Arabidopsis thaliana: one gene and its partners. The protein of the gene in region 4 interacts with the protein of the main gene of each other region in a pairwise test. Each region holds a gene or a part of one and is shown on either strand. Other genes may lie near its edges.

What was found.
Region 1: the proteins of CDKB2;2 (region 4) and ICK5 interact in a two-hybrid assay, tested with the Arabidopsis thaliana proteins (one large-scale study listed by BioGRID).
Region 2: the proteins of CDKB2;2 (region 4) and CYCB3;1 interact in a two-hybrid assay, tested with the Arabidopsis thaliana proteins (one large-scale study listed by BioGRID).
Region 3: the proteins of CDKB2;2 (region 4) and CYCB1;1 interact in a protein complementation assay, tested with the Arabidopsis thaliana proteins (one large-scale study listed by BioGRID).

What each region holds. Positions count from the first base shown.
Region 1 is NC_003070.9:18,363,188-18,369,405, forward strand, and holds ICK5 (Cyclin-dependent kinase inhibitor family protein), read right to left. Parts: upstream 3,558-6,218; 5' UTR 3,388-3,557; coding exon 3,094-3,387; intron 2,976-3,093; coding exon 2,923-2,975; intron 2,838-2,922; coding exon 2,652-2,837; coding exon of another isoform or gene 2,648-2,651; exon of another isoform or gene 2,575-2,647; coding exon 2,505-2,574; 3' UTR 2,149-2,504; downstream 1-2,148. Other genes in the region: AT1G49610 (F-box family protein), read right to left, coding at 1-5; PREP2 (presequence protease 2), read right to left, coding at 5,218-5,362, 5,621-5,692, 5,789-5,969, 6,071-6,218. UniProt on the Arabidopsis thaliana protein: Binds and inhibits CYCD2-1/CDKA-1 complex kinase activity. May target specifically CDKA-1.
Region 2 is NC_003070.9:5,579,464-5,589,107, forward strand, and holds CYCB3;1 (cyclin b3;1), read right to left. Parts: upstream 7,999-9,644; 5' UTR 7,929-7,998; coding exon 7,914-7,928; intron 7,608-7,913; coding exon 7,568-7,607; intron 7,488-7,567; coding exon 7,427-7,487; intron 7,331-7,426; coding exon 7,295-7,330; intron 7,153-7,294; coding exon 7,092-7,152; intron 6,999-7,091; coding exon 6,947-6,998; intron 6,861-6,946; coding exon 6,764-6,860; intron 6,609-6,763; coding exon 6,573-6,608; intron 6,383-6,572; coding exon 6,328-6,382; intron 6,095-6,327; coding exon 6,040-6,094; intron 5,949-6,039; coding exon 5,891-5,948; intron 5,638-5,890; coding exon 5,583-5,637; intron 5,467-5,582; coding exon 5,421-5,466; intron 5,321-5,420; coding exon 5,230-5,320; intron 4,987-5,229; coding exon 4,932-4,986; intron 4,720-4,931; coding exon 4,435-4,719; intron 4,357-4,434; coding exon 4,234-4,356; intron 4,106-4,233; coding exon 4,016-4,105; intron 3,927-4,015; coding exon 3,765-3,926; intron 3,686-3,764; and 8 more. Other genes in the region: AT1G16310 (Cation efflux family protein), read left to right, coding at 1-216, 306-386, 462-692, 781-1,122; AT1G16320 (plant/protein (DUF2358)), read left to right, coding at 1,488-1,819, 1,980-2,469; ATKDSA2 (Aldolase superfamily protein), read right to left, coding at 8,660-8,716, 8,796-8,843, 8,923-8,970, 9,059-9,157, 9,260-9,304, 9,419-9,477, 9,601-9,644.
Region 3 is NC_003075.7:17,620,029-17,627,257, reverse strand, and holds CYCB1;1 (CYCLIN B1;1), read left to right. Parts: upstream 1-2,949; 5' UTR 2,950-3,049; coding exon 3,050-3,089; intron 3,090-3,357; coding exon 3,358-3,536; intron 3,537-3,633; coding exon 3,634-3,819; intron 3,820-3,909; coding exon 3,910-4,035; intron 4,036-4,123; coding exon 4,124-4,372; intron 4,373-4,455; coding exon 4,456-4,614; intron 4,615-4,693; coding exon 4,694-4,875; intron 4,876-4,963; coding exon 4,964-5,129; 3' UTR 5,130-5,372; downstream 5,373-7,229. Other genes in the region: AT4G37510 (Ribonuclease III family protein), read left to right, coding at 1-117, 212-412, 498-584, 682-999; AT4G37500 (Aldehyde oxidase/xanthine dehydrogenase, molybdopterin binding protein), read right to left, coding at 1,343-1,477, 1,631-1,870; AT4G37483 (uncharacterized protein), read left to right, coding at 5,438-5,665; AT4G37480 (Chaperone DnaJ-domain superfamily protein), read right to left, coding at 5,662-5,827, 5,996-6,136, 6,417-6,502, 6,663-7,229.
Region 4 is NC_003070.9:7,291,019-7,297,985, reverse strand, and holds CDKB2;2 (cyclin-dependent kinase B2;2), read left to right. Parts: upstream 1-3,239; 5' UTR 3,240-3,321; coding exon 3,322-3,554; intron 3,555-3,935; coding exon 3,936-4,077; intron 4,078-4,165; coding exon 4,166-4,227; intron 4,228-4,319; coding exon 4,320-4,431; intron 4,432-4,563; coding exon 4,564-4,657; intron 4,658-4,744; coding exon 4,745-4,814; intron 4,815-4,905; coding exon 4,906-5,044; intron 5,045-5,138; coding exon 5,139-5,234; 3' UTR 5,235-5,478; downstream 5,479-6,967. Other genes in the region: AT1G20950 (Phosphofructokinase family protein), read left to right, coding at 1-50, 136-301, 406-519; AT1G20940 (F-box family protein), read left to right, coding at 1,468-2,712; AT1G20925 (Auxin efflux carrier family protein), read right to left, coding at 5,479-5,603, 5,687-5,872, 5,961-6,013, 6,093-6,193, 6,284-6,376, 6,453-6,587, 6,683-6,804, 6,879-6,967.

The DNA of each region.
Region 1 (6,218 bases), about 11 Mb from region 4:
GCCATCGTAATGGTGTTTATGAGATAGGTTTTTGAGTTATAAAATCATGCCCCATTACTGCGTTTATAAAAGCCCATTAAAACCCAATACAGTTATTACTGCATTTATAAAAGCCCATTAAATCCTCTAAACCCAATACAGTTATTCTCCTTCGTATTGGGTTCATATATCTCACAGTTTTCGGCCTTTTACTAAATTTATGTTTTTTTATTGCAAATTTAGATAATTGGTTAATTCTGATACTGATAGTGTACTTGTACTTTCTCCTTCTTTCTTTTTGTCAACCAAACTTTTGATTTAAATAATGTATACTTTAAATAGCTAATATTATTTTTAACAATGTTTTATGAGTAAAATAACACACTACTTATTTAAAACACACTAAATGCTACGCTATTTGAAGAATAAAAAATAAGCCAGGTAAATAACTCAGCATAATTTACAACATTGCCAATGAACTCGATAAATAACCAACCAGTCACACGTGTAGGTAGGGGTAACTTGTGTGAGTGGGAAAGGTTCAACATTCTATAGCCTATAGGTAGGCATTGGATCTGATGTTTATGAAATGGGAAAGAAAGTTTCACAAGATCCAAGTCATGTGCATGCAGTGAGTCTTGTAATATTAACCCCCACTTTTACTTCTCATATTTATTGCTAGTAATTTGTTTTCACCCATTTTGAACTTTGTGTACATTTTCTCAATCCTTACTCGAAACAAAACAAATACTATACCACCCAATGAAATATAGAGTAAGCACAATATATAGTACTTATATATATATATATATATCCATTTGTTCTTAAACTTTTTAAAAATGATAAATGATGATCACAAATAAAGAAGCTCTCTCTTCAACAAAAAACAAAAATCATAATTTTTACATAACTAAAGACTCGGTCATCTTTTACCCATTCTTTCCTCTACATCCCATATTACTTCCGCTGACCAAAGAGATAATGTTAAAGATGACTTTTTCTGAAGTTAAAATGTTTTTGAAAAAAGAAAAAATAGACATGAAAGTAGAATATGGAAAAGGATTCGAACTAATAAAAATAACATCCGTTTTTAATGAAATAATACTTGCTAACTAATATATATATATTCACTAGAGTTTTATTGTTCTTCGTTATTTTTTAAACAAAAATTGTGAAAAATTTGACCTGGCAGGATAGGAACAGTTAGAATAGAAAGCAAAACTTACATTTGCCTGGTCACCAAGTCACAACATTATATGTTTCACTACTTTGTGAGTACAATGCCTAAAATACCCTTCCCTCGTCACGTGGCTTGTTGGAAGAGGTAACCTAATTATGACGTACATTATTATTTAGTTTTTTTCCTTAATCGCACTATTTTTATTTTCTTCAATTCTTTTCAAATTTAAATTCGTGTTGTTAAGTAAAATATAATAACAGTCAGTTCGCAAAAAAAGTACATAAATAAGGGAAAGGAAAAAAGAATAAATGAAAAGAAAAACTAAAATAACAGAAAGCACGTGGAGTCACGCGCCTTTGCCTGCTGTAGGAAATTAAAATAAGAAAAGAAAATTAAAAAAAGGGAATATAATCCCAACGGAATCAGGTAATGATGAGATCCTCTCTATTCTCTTCTCTCTCTTCCTTTTTTGTATTCTTGCCATTTAAAGTTTTAATTTTTTGCCGTAAAGCTCATTTATAATTTGAAAATTAAATTTCAGAAAGAAAAAAAAACGTCAATCATCGAGAAAGCTTTCAAATTTGCTTCTTTTTTTTTGATAAATAAACATTCAACTTTGTTCATAAAGTTTTCTTGATAAAATAATAAAATAAATTATTTCAAGGAAATTAGAGGAATATTCATTCGAACTATAGAGAAAGTACATACCAAGTGTATGATATATATATACCGTTATGGTTTTCTAATTTTACCCATTTTCCTTAAAATCTATATTTATTTTCTTCTTCCTATTACCATTATTGTTTCACTAAAACAATTGTCGAAACAAGAAAAATAAAAAAGTTATAAAATAGCATATAAAGTACAAGCAACAAAAAGAAGAGAAAAAAACAATTTCTATAAACATCCAAGGTGAGAATCAAAACAATAAATAGTTTTCCAAATTCATAAATACGTAAATCCTCCCAATTTCATGAAAATACTAATAATGTGCACAACACCAAATTCACTACAACAAAACTGACAAAAATTAGTGAAACTTTACTGACACAATAATTCCAATTTTTAATTGTTGTAACCCCACTTTTTTTGTTGAACAATCCAACAATATCACCGAGACAGAGAGAATTAAACTCAAATATATGTTAACACTTCTAGTTAAAAAAAAAAACTCTTGGTACGAAGAACAGATGAAGATAATGATGAAATTAAAATTAGATAAAAACTGTACAATGAAATGTCTCTAAAAATTCTTCTGTCTGTGACAAAAATCACAGTACTAGGACGTGTAACTTTAGCACTGTCTCTTCTTCTTTTTCTTTTTTTTTTTGTTCTTCCATGGCTTCTAAGGTTTCAGACTAACCCACTGGTACCGACCTTCAAGCGGCGTATCATTGACGATGTCGTAGTTGTACCTATACATGTTTTAAACAACTGCAAGTTAAGGATCTCTGCTATCATGCGCGTGTGTGTGGGTCTAAAAAAGACTCACTTTTCTGTGAATCGTTTCTGTTCGTATCTCTCCGCCGCCGAGAAAAAGTCATCAAGCTCTGCCTGCGTCGGTGATTTTTCCATCTTCTTCTTCTTCTCCGTCTTTCTCTGATCTCTCATCTCCGTCGTCGCCGAGTCCATTTCTGCTGTTTCTCCCAGATTCTCGCTTGATGAAATTCCCTGTTTCCTGTGAAATTCCAAAAATTATGAATTTATAGACGAAACAATGAAGAAATTGAAAAATCTTTGAAACGTCTTTTTTAGTAATTAACCTGAAATTGTTGGTGAGTAACGTTGAGATTTCGGTTTCGGAGATTTCATGAGCCTGAAAACGGAAACAAAATTAATTAATCCAAAAAAACGTAATCAGATCTTGCTCAGAGAGCATTTATTGTGAAACAGAGAAATTTCAAAATTTGTAATCTCGAGTTTCGAAATTTCACCTCCAGATCTGAAAATGGAAGACGAGTAGCGATTTCGTTAGTTTCGCTGCTGGAACAACCAGAGCTGATGCTTGAGCTTAGATGATCGTCTTCTTCTTCAGATAACGCGACGGAGCAGAAACCTCCGGAATCTGAAACCGAGTAAGCCAGAGAAGAAGAGGAAGAAGAAGAAAGAGTTCTCGTCGGTGAGCGTAAAACGTCATCATCATCATCGAGTCTCATCCTCTTGATGTTTGATCCTTCGTACTCAGAATCTCTCTTGGGTTTTGTTTCGCTCATTTCTCTCAAGCTCATTATAGTTTTCTCTGGAGAGAGTTTATGAAAAAGTTGGGGTTTCTCTGGTTAATAAAAACAGAGGAAGGGTTTTGGGTATTTGGGGGAGAGGAAGATGAAGGATCTAGAGCCGTTGATTAATTCAACGGCTGAGATTTAATTATTGGGCCTTGCCTATAGCGGATGGGCCGTTGTTGTGCCGGTTTTGAGTGGGGTCCTTTAAACTGAGTCCCGTTCACGGGGAAGCAGGTAACGGCGTCGTTACGGAGCGTAGACGCCGTCGGGATTCTAAACGACGCGTCTTTTTTGCCGTTTTTAGCTTCCTTTTAAAGCAACCCAAAACTAAAACGTCGTCCTATAAGCTGTAGAAATGTGAGTTGTGACAGTAATTTTTGTTAATTAATCTACTTTCTACTATAGATTTCTTAAACTTATATTCTTTTACACGTAAATACATTTGTCAAAACAAAAAAAATAATTCTGATGGTTGCTGATTCATAATTTCTATCATAAGCTCTAAATATCAACTTCTTAAGGATATAACTAGGCACATAGATTAGAGTCTAAAGCATTCACTTTCTTATGAGCAGCTTCACATGGAGACAGAACTATAAATACAATCAATTAAATAGTACTTATTAAATGACAACAACAAAAAACCAACTTAAAATCCAGCTTTTACATGGAATCTGTACATGTCCAAAAATGGGTTAAGAATTTTACACATACAACATGTTTATTTCCTTCTAATAAAATGGGACCATTTTCGTTATTTTTTGGCAGTGAAATAATGAGCAATAATTGACCGTTACATAATAATTGTGCTAACAAGCATTTACTTGGGATTTTTTTTTTTTTTTTTTTAAAGTTACACATGTACAATATCGAAAATATGAAATATTAGAATCTAGGCTTCATTTTGCAAAAAATAAATAAAAAATAATCTAGGCTTCAATTGTCCGATTCTGCTTCTTCAATAATTTTAAAATTTATCACAAGAAAAAAAAGAAGACTCTTCGTTAATTTTCATCCATAATAATGATGTAATCAGAATTTTCAAGGATAATGGTAAAAGGATGAGACGAAGAAGATTCATCAATACAAGTATCTTTGTTTATGGGCTAATTTACAAAAGTTATCTTTATGAATCAATGTTAATAAAAAGTAACTTTAAAGACTAATTCACTTATAAAAGTAACATAGAGATCTTGATGCCAATGTCCTAAAAGAATAAGCGTTTCAATTTCACTTGGAAATGTTTAAGACCTACGACCTACTTCAAAAACACAAACAAAAACAAATGAAGCATGAGTAGTCACATTAGATAGTATGACAATAACAAGATCACGACACATGATGAATAATAGATGCATCTTTTGTATGACTGAGAGCCATTTGTTTTAACAAGAACAGGCACTGTTCGATCCGATCCCAGCCAATGATGAATATAATGTCTATTTTGACTCATCATTTTCAACAAAATGTGAATCAAACGAAACTGGTTTTATAACCTAAAAGGTACAGGAAAATCCTCGAGAGCTTATCTTGATACGATAATGGAATATAAATAGAACTAGGATTCTTAGTTCTTAAAGAGCAAAGGCTAAAACGAAAGAAAAATTGTCCAAAAAAGTAACAACTCAAATGCAACAGTAGCTAAAGCCTGTGTTTTCAGGTAAAAATGCTAAATTTCAACTGTGATAAGTCATGATGTTGGCATATATAACTATACAAAACACAGTGAAGTAAAACACAAATAAGTACGAGCTTAGAGATTTGATGCGTCGTACCGTGAACCTAAGAAGAGTCATTCCTCATTGTGACAAGCTACTTTCTAAGAGGGTCTCAGACTCAGAGAGCTGCTTTCTTCACCTCGAAAAAATTTGAGCGTTCTCTGTTTGCTGCATCAATGTCTTCTTGTGATGCCACGGCCACTGCAACGCCTTTATCACTAACAGAGTCTATTGCCTCTGCGAATTCCTTGAAGTCCTTCAAACTGAAAAAGGATAAAATGGAAGTTACTTTTCTTATCTGTTTGATAATAACTATGTCGAAGAATTGCAACTGGCTATTTGGTAATATTCAAAGAAGTCGTTAAACTCCTAACACTACAAAACTCAGATCACAACATTGTCCCCAAGGATTTCATAAATCCCCACAGGATATCCGCGGCATACCATTATGTGGAAAGTGAAAAAGTTGTATAAATTGATTTGTATATACGCTAAAGCAAAAATGAGAGAATGCTGTTAACCTTGTAGATAATATCTCTTCACGCCTTATTTGCCTCTCTTCGTCGGTTACATTAAGTAAATGCCTCAACAAACTGTTGATAGAGATGGGAAATTAGATTGAAATTCATTACATTCCTTGAAAAAAAGCCAACAAAGACCAGAGAAGAACCCATAAATAAACATCATACCTGGTATAACCTTTGGCATCAGGGAGTTGGTATGAATCGACATCGCCAATTGTCCCAATAATTGCTTTGGTAAGGGTGTCTTCATCGACATCGAGGCCACGTAAGAAATCCCCAGTTCCATCATATATGTCTAGAGTCTTTAATAGGTTGGGATCACGGTAAGATAAGAACGAAAATACTCCTGTGCAAGAGAAAATCCAAAGGTCAGGTCTGACGCAGAATTTGCAACTTGGGGAAGACTCTGTCAGATCAAAATCAAAATGGAAAAGAAAAACAGTTTACCCGAATGTGAATCAAAATCACAGGAACCTCCATATGCACCACCACTTACACGAACACGATCCCATAACCATGTGTTACTAATATGCTTTGATATAACATATGAACTCCCATCAAGTTTGTAGCCACTGCTGTATATATTTCCCGCTTT
Region 2 (9,644 bases), 1.7 Mb from region 4:
AGACTTGCGGTTCACATATCGAACGCAACAAATTTGGTGCTTTTTGTAGCAAAAGTTTATGCCTCTATGGAGAGTAGATCCATGGCTGTGATTGCTTCAACTTTGGACTCTCTTTTGGATCTCTTGTCTGGTTTTATCCTCTGGTTTACAGCTAATGCCATGAGAAAACCAAACCAGTTTCACTATCCTATCGGAAAGCGCCGGATGCAACCTGTGGTATGCTTCTTCTGTTTTGATCTCTTAACCCCTTTGTTTGGAACTTACTTGTCTCACAAGAAAATAGAACTGATAATGTAAATTTACAGGGTATCATTGTGTTTGCTTCCGTGATGGCAACTCTTGGACTGCAAGTTTTGCTAGAGTCAGGAAGGCAACTAGTTGCCAAGGTACTTTACATATTTTCAGGTAACTGCTTTCATCGGTTAATTAATGTATTTAACCAATTCTGTTTTTTGTTACAGAGTGGTATTCATATGAATAGCACAGAGGAGAAATGGATGATTGGTATCATGGTCTCTGTCACCATCGTGAAGTTTCTTCTAATGCTTTATTGCAGAGGATTTCAGAACGAAATCGTTAGGGCCTATGCTCAAGATCACCTCTTTGACGTCGTCACTAATTCAATCGGCTTAGCAACAGCTGTCTTGGCCGTCAAATTCTACTGGTGGATTGATCCTACCGGTGCTATACTTGTAAGTAACTAACTTAGGAATCTAAAATGATCAAGAAATGTCTCGTCGGATTACTAAAACGTTTTTTTTTTCCTTTTTATGGTTGCAGATTGCTTTGTACACCATAGCAACATGGGCAAGAACCGTACTAGAGAACGTCCATTCACTGATCGGCCGCTCTGCGCCACCAGATTTCTTGGCGAAACTGACATTCTTGATATGGAACCATCACGAACAAATTAAGCATATTGACACAGTAAGGGCTTACACTTTTGGGTCACACTACTTTGTGGAAGTGGACATTGTTTTGCCAGAGGACATGAGACTACAAGAGGCTCACAACATCGGAGAGACTCTTCAGGAAAAGCTCGAGCAGCTCGCTGAAGTAGAACGAGCTTTTGTCCACATAGACTTTGAGTTCACTCATCGTCCTGAACACAAGTGTAACTAGATTTTAAGTAGTAATTTGTAGTACTATAATTAGTTCTTTAGTTTATGTACTCTTCGTGTCGTTTTTGTCTATATAGATACTTGAACGTTGTGCCGTCTCTGTTTATCGAATGCGCATTGTGTGTCGTTTGAAGCTAATCGTCGACATTAATAGCGTTTCAAACACTAAACTCAAAATAAAGATAAAATCATATATAATAAAATAATGAATTTTAAATGAAAACCACTCAAAATGGTTTTTATCTATCTTCCGACAAAATTCCGTGCTTCATTGCTCTTCTCCACAAGACAACATTTCTCTGGCTCAGAATCGACGCCATGGAAATGTAAAGAAGAAACAAAGACGAGCTCTCAAATCCAGCAGCAATGGCTTTTCTTCTTTCTAATCTATCATCTCCGTCAATCCATCTTCAAACCGGAAAATACCCAAACCTTAAACCCATTTTCAGTCAATCTCTATCGTCTTCGTCTTCTGTTAGCTACGAATTTGTAGAAGAGAATCTATCTACACTCTCTCTATTGAGCATCCAGTCTCCTCCTCTTAAAGACACGCAAGTTCAGACAAGACACAGTTCGCAAGATAAGCATAATAACCACGACAGAGATGAATTCTATATCAATCTTGGTGTCGCTGTCCGTACACTTCGTGAAGATTTGCCTTTGCTCTTCACTAGAGATCTTAATTACGACATCTACAGGTAAATTTCTCGTTTGGGTATTTGATAATTGATGAAAGAAAGAATCTTTGGATGCTATCTTCAGAAATTTATCATTTTGGTATAAAAAAGGAGCTTCCTTTGATCTCTCTGTTTGTGAATGTTTCTCTTAGAAATTCAGAATATTTTTTTTGTTTGACAGGGATGATATAACATTTGTGGATCCGATGAACACATTCACTGGGATGGACAACTACAAGATTATCTTCTGGGCACTCAGATTTCATGGGAAGATATTGTTCAGAGATATCTCACTTGAGATCTTCAGAGTATGGCAACCATCAGAGAACATGATTCTCATCAGGTGGAATCTCAAGGGTGTGCCTAGAGTTCCATGGGAAGCTAAAGGAGAGTTTCAAGGCACTTCTCGGTATAAACTCGACCGTAATGGCAAAATCTATGAGCATAAAGTCGATAACTTGGCCTTCAATTTCCCTCAACAGCTCAAACCTGCAGCTTCGGTTTTGGATTTGGTGACTGCTTCCCCTGCAAGCAGTCCTAATCCTACGTTCTTTTTCAGTCCTGTGGACTCTTATTCATCTTCATGGGTTAAGTTTTATCAAGCGGTGAGAGGGACATTGGAGACAGAGGATATGTTTGTAACAACAGACTGTTTAGTCACATGCTCATAGTGGAAGTAGAGTTGCGATATAGACACTCAAGGTCACACTTCTCAGGTGTATATAGTTTTTACATTAAAGGTTTCATATATATGAGTAGATCTGGTTGACTTAATTCTTGGGAAACCTAGAATTGTTATGTTGTTCCAAAAGCTTTATACAACGTTATCAATACAATGGAGTTTTGTCTTTATGATTATGTGAAACAGTAATATTACTCAGTGGTTAAACACACAGAAAAAAACCAACACACCTAATCAAAGAATCACCATTAGCCTGAGTTTTCTTAATATCCGGCTAGAGTCCATGTAAATGTTGTATCTCCCTGCAATTTCCGAGTAAGGATGAACAAGATCAGTTCAATAGAGAAAACGAATAGAAAACAAGTTTTCAGCTCATGAACATATGTATATATATACACACCTTTAGACTGGTCAGGCTTGCCATGACTTTTGTATAGTTCAACTTAGAGAGGGAGTTTATCTAAGGGCTTCAAGACTGCGACGTTACTGCGATCTGGATTTATGTACTTCTCATAAGTGACCCTCAGGTTTCCTGTTTTAGCAGCTTTGTGAAACCTTAAGATCATGTCAGAACAGTCCCTGTGATAAGAAAATTGTGTAAGATTAGTTAAAGAATGTAACTAGTCTAAGTGATCTACAAGGAGGAGTTATTAATGAGATTTTAACTTACTTCATCTGGGAGACATTGTAGTGGGTATGGTTGTTTAGGAGCGAGGTCCAAACTGGAGTCATATGCAAAGTGCATCTGGCAACATAAATGGCTGATGCACATAGCAGTGATGGCTTATACTTCAAAGCTTCGTACTCAACCAAACACAACTCGATAAGGTAGAAGGCGAGTTGTTCAAGCTGATAATAGAAATAATACTATTCAATGTCTACCTATTCAAACAGAAGAATTTTATAGGTTATTAAAGCATACAATGCAGGTTTTTCGCGTACCTTCTTATTGGATTGAGCAGCTTTTAGGAACCTCAACATGAAAACATAGGGGGTGGGTGCATTCAAACGGAACTTTAACTGTTTAAGCATACTTCTCTCCTGAAAATGAAAATTAGGATAAGTTACAAGGGGAAATACGCAAATGACCCGTATTTTTTATAAAGAATAGAGAAGTTTGACTATAAACAGAGTTCATTATATACCATTCCCAAGATTTGTTCTCTGGTGTATGATTCTGCGGATATGCTGATCAAGTCTTTGATCTGCACATGGACAAAGAAAATAGATTGTAAATGTCTATTTTCAGGAGAGGTATTAGCTTTCAGGATAAATGTCTCTTACCCTAGGATGCCAGTAGTCCTCATATTTAGATGCCAATAAGAGTGCAGTAAGACCTATCAATTGCATCTCATTTTTATGTATTGGAACTTGGGAGAGGTAACGGTCTAATAAGTCCATTGTCAGGTAAAGAGTCTCATGCATTAGATCAAATTTGAAATGAACCTGCAAACAATAAGTAAAACCTAAGTTTCCACAAGAAGAAGTAGGGATAATATCAAGTTGAAATGGAACCAAAAATATACTGCACTCACTTCGATAAGCCAGTTGATCAAAATTCCACGCGTAACTGGACTGACTTCTGCATGAGCTGACAAGTAATGTCCCAAAGCTGGATTTAATGCCTGCAACAATATTTCACGTTAAGCTACTGGAAAGCTAAAATTCAATATTCAAACTGCAAGTAAAATTACCAAATTAGTAATATTAGAGAAAAAGAAGTTGATGTATGTGGAAGAAATAAGTGGATTACTTCTGCAGTCCAATAGAACTGATATATGTCATCCACATATTCTGCAACTTCCAGCTGATTGGATTCATCATCAATGCTTGGAAGTTTTTCTGGCTCTGTGGTTTCACCATTTTTCTCATCGAACTGCAAGTAAAATTACCAAATTAGTAATATTAGAGAAAAAGAAGTCACAAGAAACAACACAACTAATAAATTACGAACCTTTGATCCATTCACTAGTAGAGATGTGAAAGACTTTCTACGTTTTGATTTTGGCTTCGCTGTAACATCCAACACTTTTGTTGTTGGGTCTTTGTTTCCACTAGATGAACTCTCTCCTTGAGTGTCTTCTTCAAGACATTTTGTCTCAACCTTTTCCGGAAGTGACAGTGTTGAGGCAACTGCAGAAGAAGGGATTGAAGAAATAGATCTTGATTTACTTCTACCCACTGGGGGCTTCTTAAGAGAGCTACGGTTTTGTAGCGAAGTCTTTACAGTTGTCTGGATCTTGAGTAAGAGAGAAAGCTTATCACATATTTAATAAACAAAAATCCTCAATACGACTGTAACTATTGCCCGATGAAATGATCACGAGCAAGAAAACAAAGATGAAAGAAGAATGATTTAGCAGTTCAATGATGATAATAGCCAAGGCCAAATAGTGTGGCTTTAATGGAAATGAATCACTTGCATAGATATGAAAGGACTAAGGTGTATACCTTGATAGATTTCCTTACGAAACGGACGTTATTCTTACTCTGCTTATTGCCGTCCCTAAGCATGTAAAGAAAATAAACTTAGCAACTTGGGATATAAGTTGCTGCCCACAAACGATAAAAGAAAAAAATAATCTGATTCTCCAAGATGTAAAAAAGTCGTGCATTGATAATGAAAATGCAAACAAGGATTCTGTGAATGTAGACAATTTGATAGTTGGAAGTAGACATGTGTGATACGCAAGAGAGAAACAACTTCACTTATTTAATGATGATATCAGAATTAAGCATATTTACTTACGATTGTATAGAGCCGACACTTGTTCGAGTTTTCCAAGTATAGGTTCCGGCACTGCTTAGCTGCGGGACAGCTTGGTTGCTGGCTTTACTGGCTGAAACAATGCAACATCAATCATATCAGATACTGACCAATCAAGTTACAATTTTAACATACACATTTCCATCAGAAGTTAGAAAAGAAATCCATGTTACCTAGACCCTGACCCAATTGTTTCGAATTTAAGCCTGAGACATTGAACTGCGCCAAGATAGTAAATACACAATTAGTAAACTGTCCTAAATGATTAGCCTCACGAGTTGTTGTACAGCCAGTTGTAAGAAAAAAAAACAATCTCAAATTAGATTGATAACAACCTTTTTTAAGCTCTTATCTGTGAGGCTTGTTCTCTTTAAAGTTGGTAAGGACTTTCTGCAAGCACAAATCAATCAAGGAAGTTAATCAATGAATGATGTAAATCATTCTCAGCAGATACTAAAGAAAATGGCTGGTAGATTAATAATGTTTTCGCTATGGTGAATGAACAACAGGTTACTTGATGAGAGCTTTGACATATTGATAGGTAATGTAGGGCATAAACAAGATATCTATTTTTTCTTGGAAAATTCTTCAAACTAGTCTGGAAGCGGATAATCTATTATGCATGAGATTAGCACGAAGGTACCTTGTTCCACCAGCCGTTGATCCAAGGCTCAAGGTTTTGTTTTTGATGAATTTCTGACCTAAAATATGATTTAAAACAAAGTTAAGATAAATGGCAAAGATCAACTAAAGCCATAGCCATGAAAACAAACATAACATTTAGGAAGTCACCTGTCTTGTAAAGGTTATTGTTCCCAAGTTCGGTGGTTCTTTTACTCACATTCTCCTATATCAGAAAAAAGAAACAATCTAGAATCAAGGCTTGCAAGAAAAATGAAGGAAATGGCCATCAAGTAGTTTAACTGATGAATCTCATGCTTTAAGACACAAAGTTTGTAATATTTGCTGTAACTCATATGCTGATGAATTGTGATATTCTGGTTAATCTCATAACTGCATCTAGTCATAGTAATTTGCAAGTATACAACATGATATAGTTTGCCAATACGCTTGCTATACCTTAGTAGACTTTTTCACTGAGATATTATTAGCTCTGGTTGGACCAACTGAGACCCTACACATGGAAAGGTCAATTAGCCCAGCATCATCAACTCATTTTCAAACATCAGATATTATATACATGGAACTGTACGGATTCGTTCTGTAAAAGCTCATCAACTGAGATGAACGACTAATCCTAAGTAGAGATGTAACGTATTGCATGTATATGATGTGTATAGCAGCAGCTAACGATTACTGCATACCTTTTCGGATTTGCCATTTTTACACCTTTCCATTTCCTGCATTGTTGCATGTTCAGTAGAATAGTTTTAGAACAGAATGCAAATCAGTACAATAAAAACTAACTAACTGATTAAGAAGTGAAGACCATGGCAGTTAATAACTCTTTTCCATGAGGGATAACAAAAAACCCTTAAAAGTTAAGCAATTTTACATGGTACTGCTGCCACAAAGCGTTGGAATCCTTAGAGTGTTCCCACCAAGATTACTTAAATCAGCCAAAGCTTTTCTTGTGACTTTAGTGTATTCCTCTGAAAAGGAGACAAATATCGGAGTTAACTTTCAAAACTAGGTCCCAAAAATGTAATGAAGATATACTCTCCCTTATAAAGCTTACCCCAGTTTTCAATACTGCTTTTGCCCTTTCCTGTGATTCTCGAATTTTCCTTCTTTTTGAATCAAAACAAAAGTGCATTAACATGTGAATAAGTGCATAACATCCAACACTTGTATGAACTCAGAAACAGGGAAAAGGGATAAACCTTCATATTGTTTGTGTTAGAAGTTGCTCCTAAACCATTGCTAATTGTTACAGACTTTCTCCTAAACAATGTAAAAGCAGAAGATTAATTCTTACAGATTCGTAAAGTCAATTTCTTCATGATCAAGCCAAAATATGCACCAGTAAATACATCATGTAATGGATGGAAGAAAACAGAATAATTGTAAAAACAGCAACACAAACCTCAAAGGAATACGAGTCTTCTTCTGTGAAGTACCTCTGCAGAAAGAAATAGGTACAGTTTAATCCAGATTAACAAATAGCAACAGTTTAATTCAGATTACTGAAAGATGAATTGCAAGAGGATCCACTTACATTGTACTGGCTGGATCAGTTTTCTGATTATCGGAGAAGATTTTGAAACTCCTAGTACTCACTGTTTAACATGTAAACATTTTTTTAGAACTGAATAAGGTTCACCAAGTAACTAACAGAGGATAAAATAGTCTCTCTTACCTCGATTTCCAAGAATATCATCTCTACTTAGTCGTGGTGCCTACAAAAGTAAATCAATCGTAAGTGAAATAAGAAGCAAGGCTTTATCCCCTGTGATTTTAAGATGAAGTTGATCTAACTAACCAAATCTGAGAGTAGTAAGCTACTGAAAACTCAAGAATCTAATCTTGTGATAAAAGAAGCAGAAATAGGCAAATACCATAATATCTTCTATCTTCGAAACAATTCAAGATCCCTAATCCTAATCTCGTTTAAAATAACAAGCCCTCGCTCGAATCTCAAATTCATCTGCGATGAACGTAGTAACCCTAACTCGTTTTTTGAAGAAATTAGGATTTTCACGTACCTTCGCGAACGCCATTTTCCTCAAATCTCCAGATCTTCTGCTTTGTTCTTCCCAGAAACCCAATTGCAAGAGAGTTCTACCGTTGCAAATTCCCAAAAGTAGCGACGCCGCTTCTCAAGTATTTGAAATTGAGCCTATCTAATTTACGATTATGCCCCTTCTGTTGCTACGTATTTTCTGCTTTTGTTTGGGCTTTGTTTACCCAAGCCCATTTTAATCCAACCTAGAGCTTGTCAGACCCATCATTCTATTATTCTGAAAAAATAAAATAAAAGAACTTCACTGTTTGCATTTTGTTAGTTTGTTCAGTTTCTCAGAGGATACTGTGCAAGTGCAACAACATAAATTTCAAGTCCATAGAAAGAAACCATGCATTATGTAAAAAAACTTAAAGAAAAGACTACAAGATCAGGTATAGAAAAAGTGCTTTATGTTGACATAAAAAGTAATTTAACTTCTAATTGTTGTTTATTTCTTCAAAAATAAAACAAACTTAGACATTTGATATCATATCAGGCAACATCAGCTACTTTGAATATACATTAGTCACTGTGGAGAGATGTGTTTTGCCAAATAATGCTTATTGCTCCGACAAGATTGAAATATTATCAAGAAGATGTAGTTGCACCCAAAGTGACGTACGGACCTGCAAAATGCAGAAAAGAATCAGCAAATGATGAGAAAACAAACAAAGAGAGTTCAACATTTCTATCTTGATTTATCGGTCACTAACACACCCTTTGATTCTAATCACGATAAGGCGTGAGATCGATTTGGAACTGTTGTTTCCCCTTTGTGACACTCTGCAAAGATGTTATAAGAGCCAATGTTACAACAAAAGGAAACAGATTAAATTTTTATGGGATAATGTAAAGGGCTTACCGCGATTGCAATGAGCTCTTCTAGCAGTTCTTCTAGATGACGCAGAGGCTGAACGGGAAGAAAAACGATGATCAAGAATGCATTGTGTTAGACTAATGGATATGGTCTGAAAAAAAGTAAAACTCACCCATTGTGTTGGACCATCGACCGGTGCATTTAAAGGATCATCATGCACCTAATTCACCGGAAAATGAACCAAGTTTCATAACCAAATTGGAACAAAGATTCAGCGAGATGACAAAACTTGCGATAAAGTTGGATACCTCCATGAAAATTCCATCGACACCAACAGCTACGGCGGTTCTTGCTATGCATGGTATTAATTCGCGAAGGCCACCACTAGCAACACCCCCACCATCTAACTATATAAACAAGGTATGTTTGAGTTTAGACCAATTCTGATTTAGCTTTAAAACACCAAGCATTTTCTTAAATTACTCAGAGCATCGTTCTAATGACCATACCTTCTTGCCTGCAGGTTGTTGTAATGAATGAGTTATATCAGCAACCTGAAGCCAATAACTAAATTATATTATACGAGTGTCAAAACATCAAAGTATAAAGCCAAAGCCAAGATATAAACTCCCACAACAAGAAAAGAACAAGAAGCAATATTAACTCACAACGGGACAATCAGCTTCCCTCATCCATTCCAAATTTCGTGGATCTACTATTAAATCATCTGAGGAACAAAATTAAAATGTAAGGACACTCAGGAGTTATATCCAGTGTCTTTTAGTCTATTTTAGTCTCTATTTGCAAAAAAATTGGTGAATTCTATTGACACAAAGAACAGTTAACTTACTGTATCCAAACATGGTTCCTCTTTCACAAACCATCACATTTGGA
Region 3 (7,229 bases), on a different chromosome or scaffold from region 4:
GATCCAGATGCTGATGAGTGTCAGCCTCGAAGCAGGAGACAGCTCGAGGATGTAGATTATGTTTCTGTTGAATTTGAAGGGAAAAAGCTAGGTTGGCAAGATATTGCTACTTACAAGGTAAATAAAACTGCATGATATAACAAAATCACAGTCTACTTCTTTGGTCTATCTAACAAGAGTGATTTCTTTATTTTTTCTCCTGTTGCTTCAGCCTCCTGAAGATGCTTTATTCGCACACCCTAGGCTATTCAGAGCTTGTGTTCCACCGGGAATGCATCGTTTCAGAGGGAACATATGGGATTTTGACAGCAAACCAAAAGTTATGCAGACCCTCGGATACCCTTTAACGATGAATGATAGAATCAAGGAGATAACTGAAGCAAGAAACATCGAACTTGGACTCGGTTTACAGGTACAAAAGCTATTACTTCTGGCTTTGTCATGTGATATGTTACTTTCCTTCTCTAAACTTTTTTCACTTACCTTAAATCACACAGCTCTGCTTCTTGCATCCTTCAAAGCATAAGTTTGAACACCCGCGGTTTTGTTTTGAGCGGCTGGAATATGTAGGACAGAAGATACAGGTGAGGATAACGATCTCTCATCTTAAAAGATCAAAAGAACGGTTCTTTTCTTTCTTTCTTTTTTTTTAACCCGATTTTTCGTCTCGGGATCATGCAGGACATAGCAATGGCTGAACGTTTGTTAATGAAGCACTTGGACGCACCAGGGAAGTGGTTGCAAGAGAAGCATAGACGTCTATTAATGAACAAATTCTGCGGCCGGTATCTTAGAGAAAAACGTCTTCACAACTTTATAATATACTCAGAGGAGGTTCATGATCGGTATGAACATAACCGGAGACTTAGGAATCCGGCGACAACCGCTGTCCAACAAGCCATTCACGGCCTCGCCTACACCATCTACGGGAAACCCGATGTTCGGCGGCTCATGTTTGAGGTTTTCGACTTCGAACAAATCCAACCTAAAGCTGTCTGAAAATCGAAGCTGTCTCTCTCATTTGTCTAATGTCTTTTAGTATACTACTGGGTTTGATTTATGTAGTTAAATGCTTAATTACCTTTGGTGAAAAGTTGAAAACTTTAAACTAGCAAAATGAGCTTCATCAGTATAATCTTAGGTTCATCAGTTTCAAATTTGTTGCCACCAATTCAAAGAGCTTCTTCTTATGGTTGCATACCTTGAGAAGAGAAACTGAATGTTGTGAGTAAAGTTTCTTCTTAAGGTATTTTGTAGTTTCCAGGTCTGCAAGTGAGTAAAGCTCCTGGTTAAATCCATGTATGAGCTGCATCTCCCCACTTGAGCTCTTCTAAAGCTACCCTCAGCGAATGGAGTTGAAATTGTGTTTAGATGCAACAGGCTCCAATTTAGCTATAATCTGCTCAACAGCGTCTAAAACTGCAGCACCATACATATCAGAGCTCGCAGAAGCAGCAGTAGGTGACGCGTTAGGAACCTATTAAGAGGCAATCAAAACGACAAGGGAGCAATAACAGTGTGTGAGGCATTTGGAACCTATTAAGAGACCACAAAAATGATAAGAGAGAACAATATCAGTTTTGTCTTGGCCAAAAAGTCCACTGAGTGCATGTAACCGAGTTAGATGTACCTTGTATGTGCTTGTTTCTGACACAAAAACTGAACTAAGGGGAATGACACAACCTTTGTATGCAAATCCTTGACCCATTTCAACACCTCCATGTGTCACCAAAACAGTCCCATTGGTGCAAACATGAACAAGAGCACCGGCCTGTAATAATAATATGTGTTGGAGTAAGTATCTTAAAATCCAGATTCTAGATTTGCAAGCAAAGGTAGTGCAATGCTGAGATTTCCAAGGAAGCTTCATCTTATTCTTTTACCTTTAAAGTTCCTCGAGAGATGACTAAATTTGAAAGAAAAAGGATTCACTTCTAACATGATTCATGAACTTTGTGGTAAATGAATATGACAATTGTGTGGGAACCATAGCTACACCACACCATGCAATGTGCGGAAGAGAGTGAGATTAATGTGTGATGGGATCTTTGCAGTTGAAAGTTCATCTCCTAAAGTCAAGAAAACATTAAACTAACAAAATGAGGACAAACTTTTACCAATTTTCACATTTATAGAAAAATATTCAACTCACTTTGATTTCTTCAGGGGCTCAGCTGAATCTAGTTTTCAATGGTTGCAGAACAAAATGAAAATGAAAATTTTAGTATCTCAAAATCTAGTTTCTATTTTTTTTGGTGACATTAATCAATGATTTCAAAATAACTAAAAACCTCAGAATAAACTCAATTCCATCTTAAAACCACACAACTTTCATAACCGAGGAATGACGAAAAACAAAATAATAGAGGAGGAGCATCACTACTATTTTCATTTTTTTAGCCAATCAGAGCGCACCAGAAAACGCCCACTCGCACCAACCTCGTGCCACGCGCTACAGACCACGCCCACTCGCACCAACCTCGCGTTGAGCGCGTGTCGTCGATTTCTGTAGGGGTAAACCCACAAAATCATGCTTATTTTACATCTACTCGCTTTGTTTCCAAAACAGTCTCGAGTGACTTTTTTTTTTGTTTTTTTTTCTCTAAACCGTACTAATTCTAATGCAAACCGAACCAAAATCAATTTTCATTTCAAAACCATGTAAACCAAACAGAGATCAACATCTAACTAACCGGATTTAACTAGCAATCTAATTCACACAAATCTTTTTTTTTTTTTTTTTTCCTATATCCTTCACAGTCAATAAAAAGAATAAGTGGGCCGTTGTGACTTCAAAATCCCAATAGTGAAAAAGCCCGATTTCGTGTCTCTACAGCCGTAAGGCCCGTAACAAGCCCACGACCTCTAATTTTTCAAAAACAATCAGACCGTTGGGGTTCATTTATTTTCTTTAATTTTGTTTTTATTTCTTATAAAACGGCTCATCGTCCTCAAGAAGCCTCCTATATAGAAGACGCCCCCACTACTTAGACTTTTTCTACTACAAACCTGAGATTTTAGTCTGAGAGAAAGAGAAGAGAACACTAAGATGATGACTTCTCGTTCGATTGTTCCTCAACAATCCACGGGTAAGAGAAAGATCTTTGCTTTTTCTTTTTTTAAGGTTTTTACGGACAAAATTTGATTTGGTTTAGTTTGTGATCTTCGATTTTGGTATCTGGGTTTTGTTCGTTTCTTTCTGTTCTTGTTATATCTATGAACAACGAAACGAATATGTTGCGAATCAAGTATAAAGTCCGTGGCTTTGACTGGAATTTTCTTGATTTGATATGGCTGATGATTGTTGCAAATTGAATCTAAAGTTGTTAACTTTGGTTTTGTTTTGTTGTGTTGAAGATGATGTTGTTGTGGTAGATGGCAAAAACGTAGCGAAAGGAAGAAACCGTCAAGTTCTTGGTGATATAGGTAATGTTGTTCGAGGAAATTACCCAAAGAACAACGAACCGGAAAAGATCAATCATCGTCCTCGTACACGATCTCAAAATCCCACGCTTCTTGTGGAGGATAATCTCAAAGTTTGTTCCTTTTCCCCTGTATTTTGGTGAACAAATTAGGTTTCTTCGTTAGATTTGTTAAACTCATGTCATATGTGTATATGTCTTTGATCTGCAGAAACCTGTAGTCAAGAGAAACGCAGTACCAAAGCCGAAGAAAGTGGCTGGGAAACCAAAGGTAGTAGACGTGATTGAGATAAGTTCAGACAGTGATGAAGAACTTGGTTTAGTTGCTGCTCGAGAGAAGAAGGCTACTAAGAAGAAAGCGACCACTTACACATCTGTTCTTACTGCTAGAAGCAAGGTAATTTTTTACCTTGTGAAATGATGATTCTTTAGTGTGAAGTAAGAAAATGTTTTGGTCTGTTCTGAATAAACTTCTTTTGCTTTTCAGGCTGCTTGTGGTTTAGAGAAGAAACAGAAAGAAAAGATTGTTGATATCGATTCTGCTGATGTTGAGAATGACCTCGCAGCTGTGGAATATGTGGAAGATATTTACAGTTTTTACAAGTCTGTTGAGGTTTGTATACTATACTATTCATGAATCTTTCCTTGCAGCTTTGTTGTAGTATTAACTTGTTTACTTAAATTATCATTTGGATTGGCAGAGTGAATGGAGGCCACGAGATTACATGGCATCTCAGCCTGATATTAATGAAAAGATGAGACTGATCCTGGTGGAGTGGTTGATTGATGTGCATGTCCGATTCGAGCTAAACCCGGAAACATTTTACCTCACTGTTAACATTCTGGATCGGTTCTTGTCGGTTAAGCCAGTGCCTCGAAAAGAACTGCAGCTTGTTGGTCTCAGTGCTCTTCTCATGTCGGCCAAGTATGAAGAAATTTGGCCACCACAGGTGATAAAAACAGAGAACTTTTGAATCTTCTGGTTTTGATTCTTTTTTGTCTTCGGCTAAATGAAAAGATAATTCTTTTGCAGGTGGAGGATCTAGTTGATATTGCAGACCATGCATACAGTCACAAACAGATTCTGGTGATGGAGAAGACAATACTGTCTACACTTGAGTGGTACTTGACAGTTCCGACTCATTATGTCTTCCTAGCTCGTTTCATCAAAGCTTCCATTGCAGACGAAAAGGTAAGAGAGCGTTTTTTTAGTTTCTTCCATGGTTATACATTTCATCATATTGAACATTCAGTTGTGTTTTGGTTTGCAGATGGAGAATATGGTGCACTATTTGGCTGAGTTAGGCGTAATGCATTACGATACGATGATAATGTTCAGTCCATCAATGGTAGCTGCTTCTGCAATCTACGCAGCAAGATCTTCTCTCCGCCAAGTTCCCATATGGACCAGCACTCTCAAGCATCACACTGGCTATTCTGAGACTCAGCTCATGTAAGAAAGTTCCTTTCTTTTTTCATTTGCATCATATGCGTTTTGCATTTGTGGTTGGATATTCATTCTTGTTGTAATGATGAAAAAGGGACTGTGCAAAGCTGTTGGCGTATCAGCAATGGAAGCAACAAGAAGAAGGGAGTGAGAGCAGTACTAAGGGAGCTTTACGAAAGAAATACTCCAAGGACGAACGCTTCGCTGTGGCTTTGATCCCTCCGGCCAAAGCTTTGTTGACCGGAACTGAATCTGCTTAGGAGTTAGGACCCTTTAAGAAGACGAAGAAGCTGAAGAACCAAGCCTAGTTTCATTTTCCTTCTGAAAATCAAGTCTAGTTTCATTAGATAATGGTATTTTGAACAAGTCTAATGAGTCGCTTTGAAACCTAGTCCTTTAGCATGATTCATTCCCAAACACTGCATATCTTGTAAGAAGTCAGTTTCTTCCGAGAAGTTTAATTTCCTTAGATATAATATTCTGTGGTTTAACTTCTTTAGTACACATGATTCATTCCCCAACACAGAATTTCTCTTCTTTTTTTTGATCAAACACCCCAGCACAGTATATGTTTCACCATTTCTTGTGTTCCTTCTGGTCCCGTCCATTCTGGGTTTTAAAACCACCTTCTGGTCTGCAAGATCCCCTTAAACAACTAAGCACTCCCATCTTTGGTGAGCATTTTGTTAGCCACAACCTCATAAGTCTAAATGGAAGTGCTAGCATCCATGCGGAAATTGTAAATCCAATCATCTTTGGATCTTCATCCGGAAAGGGAGAAGGTTTACCATATTAAGTTCCAAGGCCCTTTCTTCTAACCAATTCTTTACACCAATCCAATGTTTTAGATAACCGTGCCTCGAGGATCTCCAATATTGACCGTTTCCTTCTCTTTTCATCTTCAAGATCAAGAGTACGATATGCTAGTGTAAGCAAGTAGATACCTGGGTGCAGTCTCCTGGAGAATACAAAAAGTCATATATAAGTTAGATTACTTCACAAACAACAACTAATACAGAGATGTAACCAGACTTTATTGACTGAGGAAAAATGTGGTCAACGCAGATACAAGGATGCCAGTAGAATATCTTAAGCTGCTTTCTCTTCATATGTATAGTAAGCTTACCCATCCAGTGTACTCCCCTCTTCCAGGCCATCCCAGAATCTTTGTGCCAGGACCGTCCTGCTCTTTTTATCTTTCCCATAAGTTTCAACATACCATCCTCCGACATCATGCAAACCACAACGAGGCTCAAACAACCAAAACCTGTTTTCAAATCCATGCAATTATGGTTTCATGTCACTGAGGTAAGAAAGATGAAGGCTACGTTAGGGATCAGTATCATAAGTTCAGCATTCCAACAAAGATCACTGACTACTTCAGCATTTCAACAAAGGAAACTACAGAATTCTGTGTTCCAGATATCAATTTATTGAATTGCATTCTAACGAAGATGAAAACAGTGAAAAGGCTGTCCAATCTTGTTATTTTATCGAGTTAAAGGTGAGCCAGAACTAAAATAAAACAAAAATAATATTTGGCTTACTTGCTTGGTGGTAACTTCGCTCTACTGCATCTACATTCACAAATGGAAACCTTTTCCCCAATTTTGTACCAGTGCAAATGTCTCACCTGTAGAGTGTGGATGAAGAATTTTCATACATGCCTATTCCATCAAATAACTAGCGGATCATATCTCTATATGCATCACAGAACAATTCCCCGAAAAAGTACACGTTGTAATTTGCGAAAGGTACATAAAAAGAAATGCTAGATCATATAAGTCACAAACCAGAAATGTCCTATGTTTCATTATCACATGAGTCTTAGCACCATTCCCATCATAGACATAACATGAACCTTCATCTGGGATTGTCCCAAGACCACTTATAGTTCCAACAAGAAGTCTGGCACCACTTTCATTTCCCGGAGGCGATTCAGTGCCATGATTAGATCCTTCATCTGAATTGAGGAAAACGTGTATAAGATCGTGATCACCCTCAATTTGTTTCTTTTCATGATACCCTTTTGGGGGAACCCTAATGGCTGTAGCAACAACTCTTCCAGATACATGCAGCTGAATATCTTTATACGCATCAGAAACATGGTTTTTACTTCTTGAAGATTGTATATGAGATATCTGAAGACCAATCCTTTCAGCAGACATCATGTCATTGTTGCCTTTCTCAACTGCTTGACCAAGGTCCGAATCCATAAACGACGACAAAGCCAATTTCTTTGAGCAAGCAGAAGAAAGCTCAAGGAAGTTATCAACCAAGGAAACCATACCAAAAAGATCCCGTCCTGATACCAAATGCAAAACCTCTCGTGTATCATACACAGACCTTTCCTCAGCTTC
Region 4 (6,967 bases):
AGACCTGCAATTCATCCAGCTATGGTGGATTTGAAAGGCAAAGCATACGAGTAAGTCAGCTATTACAGAAAACATGAACACACTCACGTTTGGCCTTATTTATCAATTGTTTGAATGTGAATGGTTTTCTTGCAGCCTCTTGAGACAGAATGCACAAAAATTCTTGATGGAAGATCTGTACAGAAACCCAGGACCGCTACAGTACGATGGTCCTGGTGCGGATGCTAAAGCAGTGAGTCTCTGTGTTGAAGATCAAGATTACATGGGACGTATCAAGAAGCTGCAGGAATATCTTGACCAAGTAAAAACTTTTTGTTTTTGTGTTTTTCTCTGCTAATTTCGTCAAGTATCGAATAATGTTCTTCGCCACTTTCATATTTATTAACATTTTTGGGGTTTGGTCAGGTGAGGACGATAGTGAAACCAGGATGTTCTCAAGACGTATTGAAGGCAGCACTGAGTGTGATGGCTTCGGTGACTGATGTTCTTACTACTATTTCTTCAAATGGTGGTCAATGATTTGCTTAAAACTTAAGGACAAAGCTCTTATGAATCACACACGTCGTGTTTGTTCTCTTCTTTTTGTTTTCTTTCTTTTGAGATGTAACTTTTGTTGTATTTTTTAAGTTATTGAGTTTGGAAAGACATAAAAATTGAAAAGGTTTGGATTATAGAGGCGCTATTTCACCATATCAATCCTTGTCCAACTTTTATTTTTCAGTTTCACTATTATTACAAACTTTTTTTAAATATGACAATTAGGCATGCATGCATGATGCATATAGCAATAGCATCGCTTGAACACGATTTTGTTTACAAAAAGAATCATTAAAATTTTAAGAGTTACATTTTTAATCTTAACTACACCAAAATACTAGAAATACAGTGTATCTTGCAAACTAACTTTAACAACCAATGACGTGTCATGTTCCCAAATCCCAGTTATAAATTTTGATAGATTTTTGACAGTATCTTAGGTACAGCTTTGGCATAAATACACTTTTATTTATTTTAAAAACTATCTTTAGCCTAAATACATTGTTAGTTATTTAAAAATTAGAAACTAAATGAAGAAATTATTTAGATATTAAGAAATATTTATCATTAAAAGATATTAGATTTTGTCATTTTTTTATATTAGTAAATTTTCTTTGTTCAACTAATGAAATTAATAACTAACAGATTATTTTGCAAAATGACAAACCTATAAAATATATATTAATATTTGATTTTCAAATTATCTTGCAAAATCATTCAAAAATTTAACTAAATTTATATTAATGTTGTATTTGAATTTTTCTTATAATGGTGAGATACTGAGATTATCCTTGATTAGAATTGATTGTTACTTTTTTTTGGTAATAATATGTTGTCTATTATTATATATATATATATATATATATATATATATATATATATGTTGAAAATAACACAAAAATATTCACATACGCCAAGCAAAATAGAATCATGAATAATTTGCCAAGAAATTCTCAATTTGATTCATCTTCCATCATCAATGATTTACCTTTAGACCTTCTCGACGAGATTCTCTTCAGATTAGAACCCAAATCTATGGCTATGATGCGATGCACTAACAATTCTATCAAATCATATTTAAGTGATCCAAGATTTGGACCGGAATATCCTTCATGGGTCAGACCTAGTTTGTTTAACCTTGGTAGCTATGGCGCTACTTATGTATGTTGCCATCCTTTGGTCTCTTCATGCGATTATATGTCACCGGGAAATGGAGTAGAACTGTTTGATGGTAGTGCGGATTGTTACATTTTCGGCTCATGCTCTGGTCTTCTCCTATTGTACATTGGTTGTCTCTTTGTTGCAAATCCCTTAACAAAAAGGTTTCGAATCCTGGATCATTCTGGATCAAAGCTTATACCAATGATAGTTAATGGTGGACTTAAAGGTCTTAGCGGAATTAGTTATCCTGGAGGTAATGTTGCTTGTACGGAACGAGCGATGTGCGTTGGATTTGCGGTAAATCGAAATCTAACAACCAAGAGATTCAAGATCGTGGGCATACTCGAGATGGAAAACGTATACGGATTCGAGATCAACGAAGGAGACTCTTGGAGATTATCGGAAACGAGTATCACCACTAGCTCAAAAAGTGATCTCACTACGCGGATGAAACCTGTTTACTTGGACAACACTCTTCACTGGCTGAGAAACGATGGCAGCATCATGTCTTTTAATCCCGAGACAGAGCAAGCATGCTTGATTCCTTCCATATTTCATCGGGAACCGGATACGAAGCTACTTTTCGCGGAAAGCGTTAAGATCAATCGCCTGACCCTAATTTCGGGGACGATAGAAACAATCTCCGTTTACACACTTGTCGAGAATCACAAATGGACACTCACAAGGCGGATCAAGAACATATCTATCGAGGAAGAAACGCTTGTATATTGGAACATAGCTATGTACGATGGCAAGTGTCTTGTGGTGAGGGTGAAAAAGATGGGTTTAGAACCTTTGGCAAGTGTTCTTCATGTGTACGACATGGAAGCTAACAGTTGGGGAGTTTTGGTGTCAACCCTTGCTTGGCCCAATTGCGTCCGAGATTTCTATAAATTGACGCCCTCCTTGTTCTTTGTAGAGGAGGATGAGCAACAGAAGGTGCTTGTTGCTTCTAATGACCGACGCATCTCCTATATAAATTCGATTATGGGACTCATTGATACCACCAAGTAAACATTTAGGGCCTATAGATTATACAAAAAATGTCCTGATTTATAAGAATGTTTGTTTCCCATTTGCTTTTATCATTGCACTATTATGGTTTATGTATTTCAAATCTAAAAATTAGTTGTATATTACTATTTCTTTTGGGACAAAAAATCATTTAAGACAATGTTGTTTAAGAACTTGTTCTTCTCTGGCTTGTCAATTTTTCGTCCTGCCCAATAAAGGCCCATCTTGTGTGTTTTGTCGAATCTAACAACAAACTCACACCTTTTGACCAAAAAACAAACTCTCCCCTTTTTTTTTTCCTTTCGTGTAGCTAAACCGTCTCCGGATGTTGACAAACATTGGTTATTCACTTTTTCCACGTCACACTTAAAAACAGAACATAAAAAAAAAACTAATGACGACGCTCCAGTTTTGAATTTTGAAAAAAGAAAAAAAGAACCGTTGAAAAAACATGAGTGCTCAAAGAGGGAATATACCTTTTTAATAATCTCCTTCCTATTTAAACCAATTCTCGAATCTAATTACATTTCCTCTCTCTTTCCCCAAATTGAAAACAAAATCTGAGATTCGCGAAGGAAGAAGAAGAGTTGTCTTGAGAGATTGATAGAGATGGACAACAATGGAGTTAAACCCGCTGTTTCCGCCATGGAAGCCTTTGAAAAGCTTGAGAAAGTAGGTGAAGGGACTTATGGGAAAGTTTACAGAGCAAGAGAGAAAGCTACTGGGATGATCGTTGCTTTGAAGAAGACGCGTCTCCATGAGGATGAAGAAGGTGTTCCTCCCACTACTCTTCGCGAGATCTCTATCTTGCGTATGCTCGCTCGTGATCCTCACATCGTTAGGTTCGATTTCCTTTTACATTTCTGATTCGGTTCAGTCACTTTCTGAAATTCTCCGATTTACTGGTTTTGATTGTGGATTTAGGACTCAATTTCGATTTCTAGGGTTTAGTCCCGATTAATTGATGTCTCAATTGATTTGATGACTCTGATTCTTCCTGCAAATCGCGCTTAGTGTCGCTCTTAGGTGTTACTGGTAGATCTTAGTTTCAGTTTGCTATTTGTTGTGTGGTCCGATCGAGATAAAATGGGTTCCTTATCTTATCCGAATACTAGAAAATGTCAAAGTAGAAGCTCTGTGTTGTGATCTCAGTTTCAACTATTTTTGTGGTGATTGCATTTCTACTGAGAGATTATTGTTATGATGATTATCTTCTTCTACAGGTTGATGGATGTTAAGCAAGGAATAAACAAAGAAGGAAAAACTGTACTTTACCTTGTTTTCGAGTATGTTGATACTGATCTCAAGAAATTCATCAGAAGCTTTCGTCAAGCTGGACAGAACATTCCACAAAATACTGTCAAGGTTTGGATATTTGGAGATTTTGTTCTGCTTTTTTTCTCTCATCCGATAAGCCCCTTTAAGCTAAGAGAAACATGTTCTTGAATTGCAGTGCTTGATGTACCAGTTATGCAAAGGCATGGCTTTTTGCCATGGTCATGGAGTGTTGCACAGGTAAAAATCGTCTTTGTTTTGGAAGAACTATGACTTGAGATAACCCATTTTGACACAGATCTCTAATCCTACTTGTCTTGGTTTCATTACAGGGATCTTAAGCCTCACAATCTCTTGATGGACCGGAAGACAATGACGCTCAAAATAGCAGATCTTGGATTAGCCAGAGCCTTCACTCTCCCAATGAAAAAGTATACACATGAGGTATATAAGTCTACGTTGATGAAACATTAGTCCTGTTTCATTCTAGTTTTTTTTTTTTTTTTTAATTCTATCTTAGTTTATCTGGAGTTATAACTCAGGATGATTTTACCCCCATGATTTCATTTGCAACAGATTCTAACTCTATGGTATAGAGCTCCGGAAGTTCTTCTTGGAGCAACCCATTACTCTACTGGAGTGGATATGTGGTCTGTTGGCTGTATTTTTGGTACAAAATCTTCTCTTACAGTTTCACTGGTTTCAGTTCAATGTCACTAGCAAGAACTAACAGTTTTGTTTCCTTTTTGATGTGTAGCTGAACTAGTGACCAAGCAAGCAATCTTTGCGGGAGACTCTGAGCTCCAACAGCTCCTCCGTATATTCAGGTAAGTCTTTGTGTTCATCTTTACCTTTAAGACACAAACATGACATTCGCTAACTTGGTTGTTCTGTTTCTTTCTTTCCTGTCAAACTCAGGTTGTTGGGAACACCAAACGAAGAAGTTTGGCCTGGAGTAAGCAAACTCAAGGACTGGCATGAATACCCGCAATGGAAACCGTTGAGTCTCTCCACAGCTGTGCCAAACCTCGACGAGGCTGGACTTGATCTCTTATCTGTAAGTCTCTAGTGTCTAACACACCTCTCAGACCTTGCTTGATTAGTAGATAATCACTCTGCTGAGACTAATTTGTGTTTCTCTTTGTGCACAGAAAATGCTGGAGTACGAGCCAGCAAAACGAATCTCAGCAAAGAAAGCTATGGAGCATCCTTACTTCGATGATTTGCCTGACAAGTCCTCTCTCTGAGGCTCTCTTTATAAACTCTCAATAGGATATTTTGTTCTATCTCTGTCTTTGCTTGTCTCAAGCATTTATCTGCTATCTTAGGATGATTGAAGTTTCAATATTCCCTTTTGATTGGGTCTCTATTCCCAATTGTATAACCTTCCAACATTTTTATCAATGAAAGAATATATCAGTTTCTCTAATATTTCAAAGTAGCAAGATTTGCAACTGTTTCCCATTTGTGTAAGTGTGTGTGTGTGGATGTTCAGGCTACGAGCCACATGAAGAATGTTGGCCAGACAGTGAGAGAAACTGAAGCCAAGGCATAACTCCAGAATAGAATCACAGAGCATTCACTTTCTCCTGATCCGAATAGTTGAGTGATTGTACCTGCCAAAAGGTCAAGTGAGTTTATGAGAAAGACAGTGTGATGACATGTTTTGGTAGTATTTTTGTGAGTCTGAAGAACGAACCAAGATTCATCGCTGGGGGAACGACATACTGAAGCAGAAGAACAAACTGGTAAAGCGGTTCGGATGTAACCAAACCCAAGTAATGCGCTCCTCGTACTATGAAAACTCCTAATATTGGCAGCAACAAGTAACGCACAACCACCACACCCATTATGACTGACTTGTTTATTCCTGAACCTCTCAGACCTGTGATTATTATAAGAGAGAGAACAGAGATTTAAGGTTTTGTCTTAGGAAAAAAAGTTTCTGCAGCCATTTGTTATTGTTTATCTACCATTGAGAAGGTTTCCTCCAACAATCAGAGTCAGAACAGGAATCGCCCCGTCCCTTCAAGAAAATTAAGCTACTCAAGTAAGCATTGTTAATTATCACTGACAAGTGAGATTTTTAATATGTTGTAGAATACCCCAATAGAGATACTGAGTCCTCAATCACTCGAAGTGGAGCTGTGTTACCGACTAGTAGCTTCCGTAGTAAAGGATTTAACCCAACCGCAAGCGCGATAAGCTGAAGAGAAAGAGGATTAGTTGCTTAACTAGTAAGAACATACAGAAGCTAGATAGCAGTCGTTTAGTTCAAGGGAACATTGAAACAAACCGCTGCAATAGTTGAAGGAGCAAATATTGTTCGTAGATTGATTTTCTCTGCTACAGAGCACACTCTTTGTTTGACCTTGCCCCAAGTCCCAACCTTGTCACATATACATTCTCTCAAAATCAGTAAGTTGGCTAACAAGAATATAAGAAGGAAAAGTTTAGACTAATACCTGTTCCGCAACTTCGACTTTGGGAGAAATCAGTGGCATTGTAGACGAGGTACTGTTTATTGCGGTTTCTCCAGCAGGATTTGCTAGCATCCGCATAAGATTGTATACATAAGTCCATATGTAAATGGCTCCAATCTGATATACATCACAAAACGTTTTTGACTTGTATTGGCATTAAAAAAAAACTTTAGTAGAGAAGCATAAGAAGTAGTTAAGAAATGGTGACATACCGCCATAGAGAGTGCAATATAACCAAGTCCAAATTTCTCACAAGACTCAGGATCTCCAAAAGGACTTCCCTTTTCATTACATATAGCTGGGATGATAATGAGTGGCATATTCCCCAAATTCCCTGTTGGATTACACAATCTCATCACTGAATCTAAGAAAATGAAAACAGCTTTTGTAAGATGATATTAAAGTTACCAGCAGCACAACAACCAACGATGATGCCACGGAGATGCGAAGGAGGTTTAGTGATTTTGATAACAATCCAACCCAAAAACGAACCAATG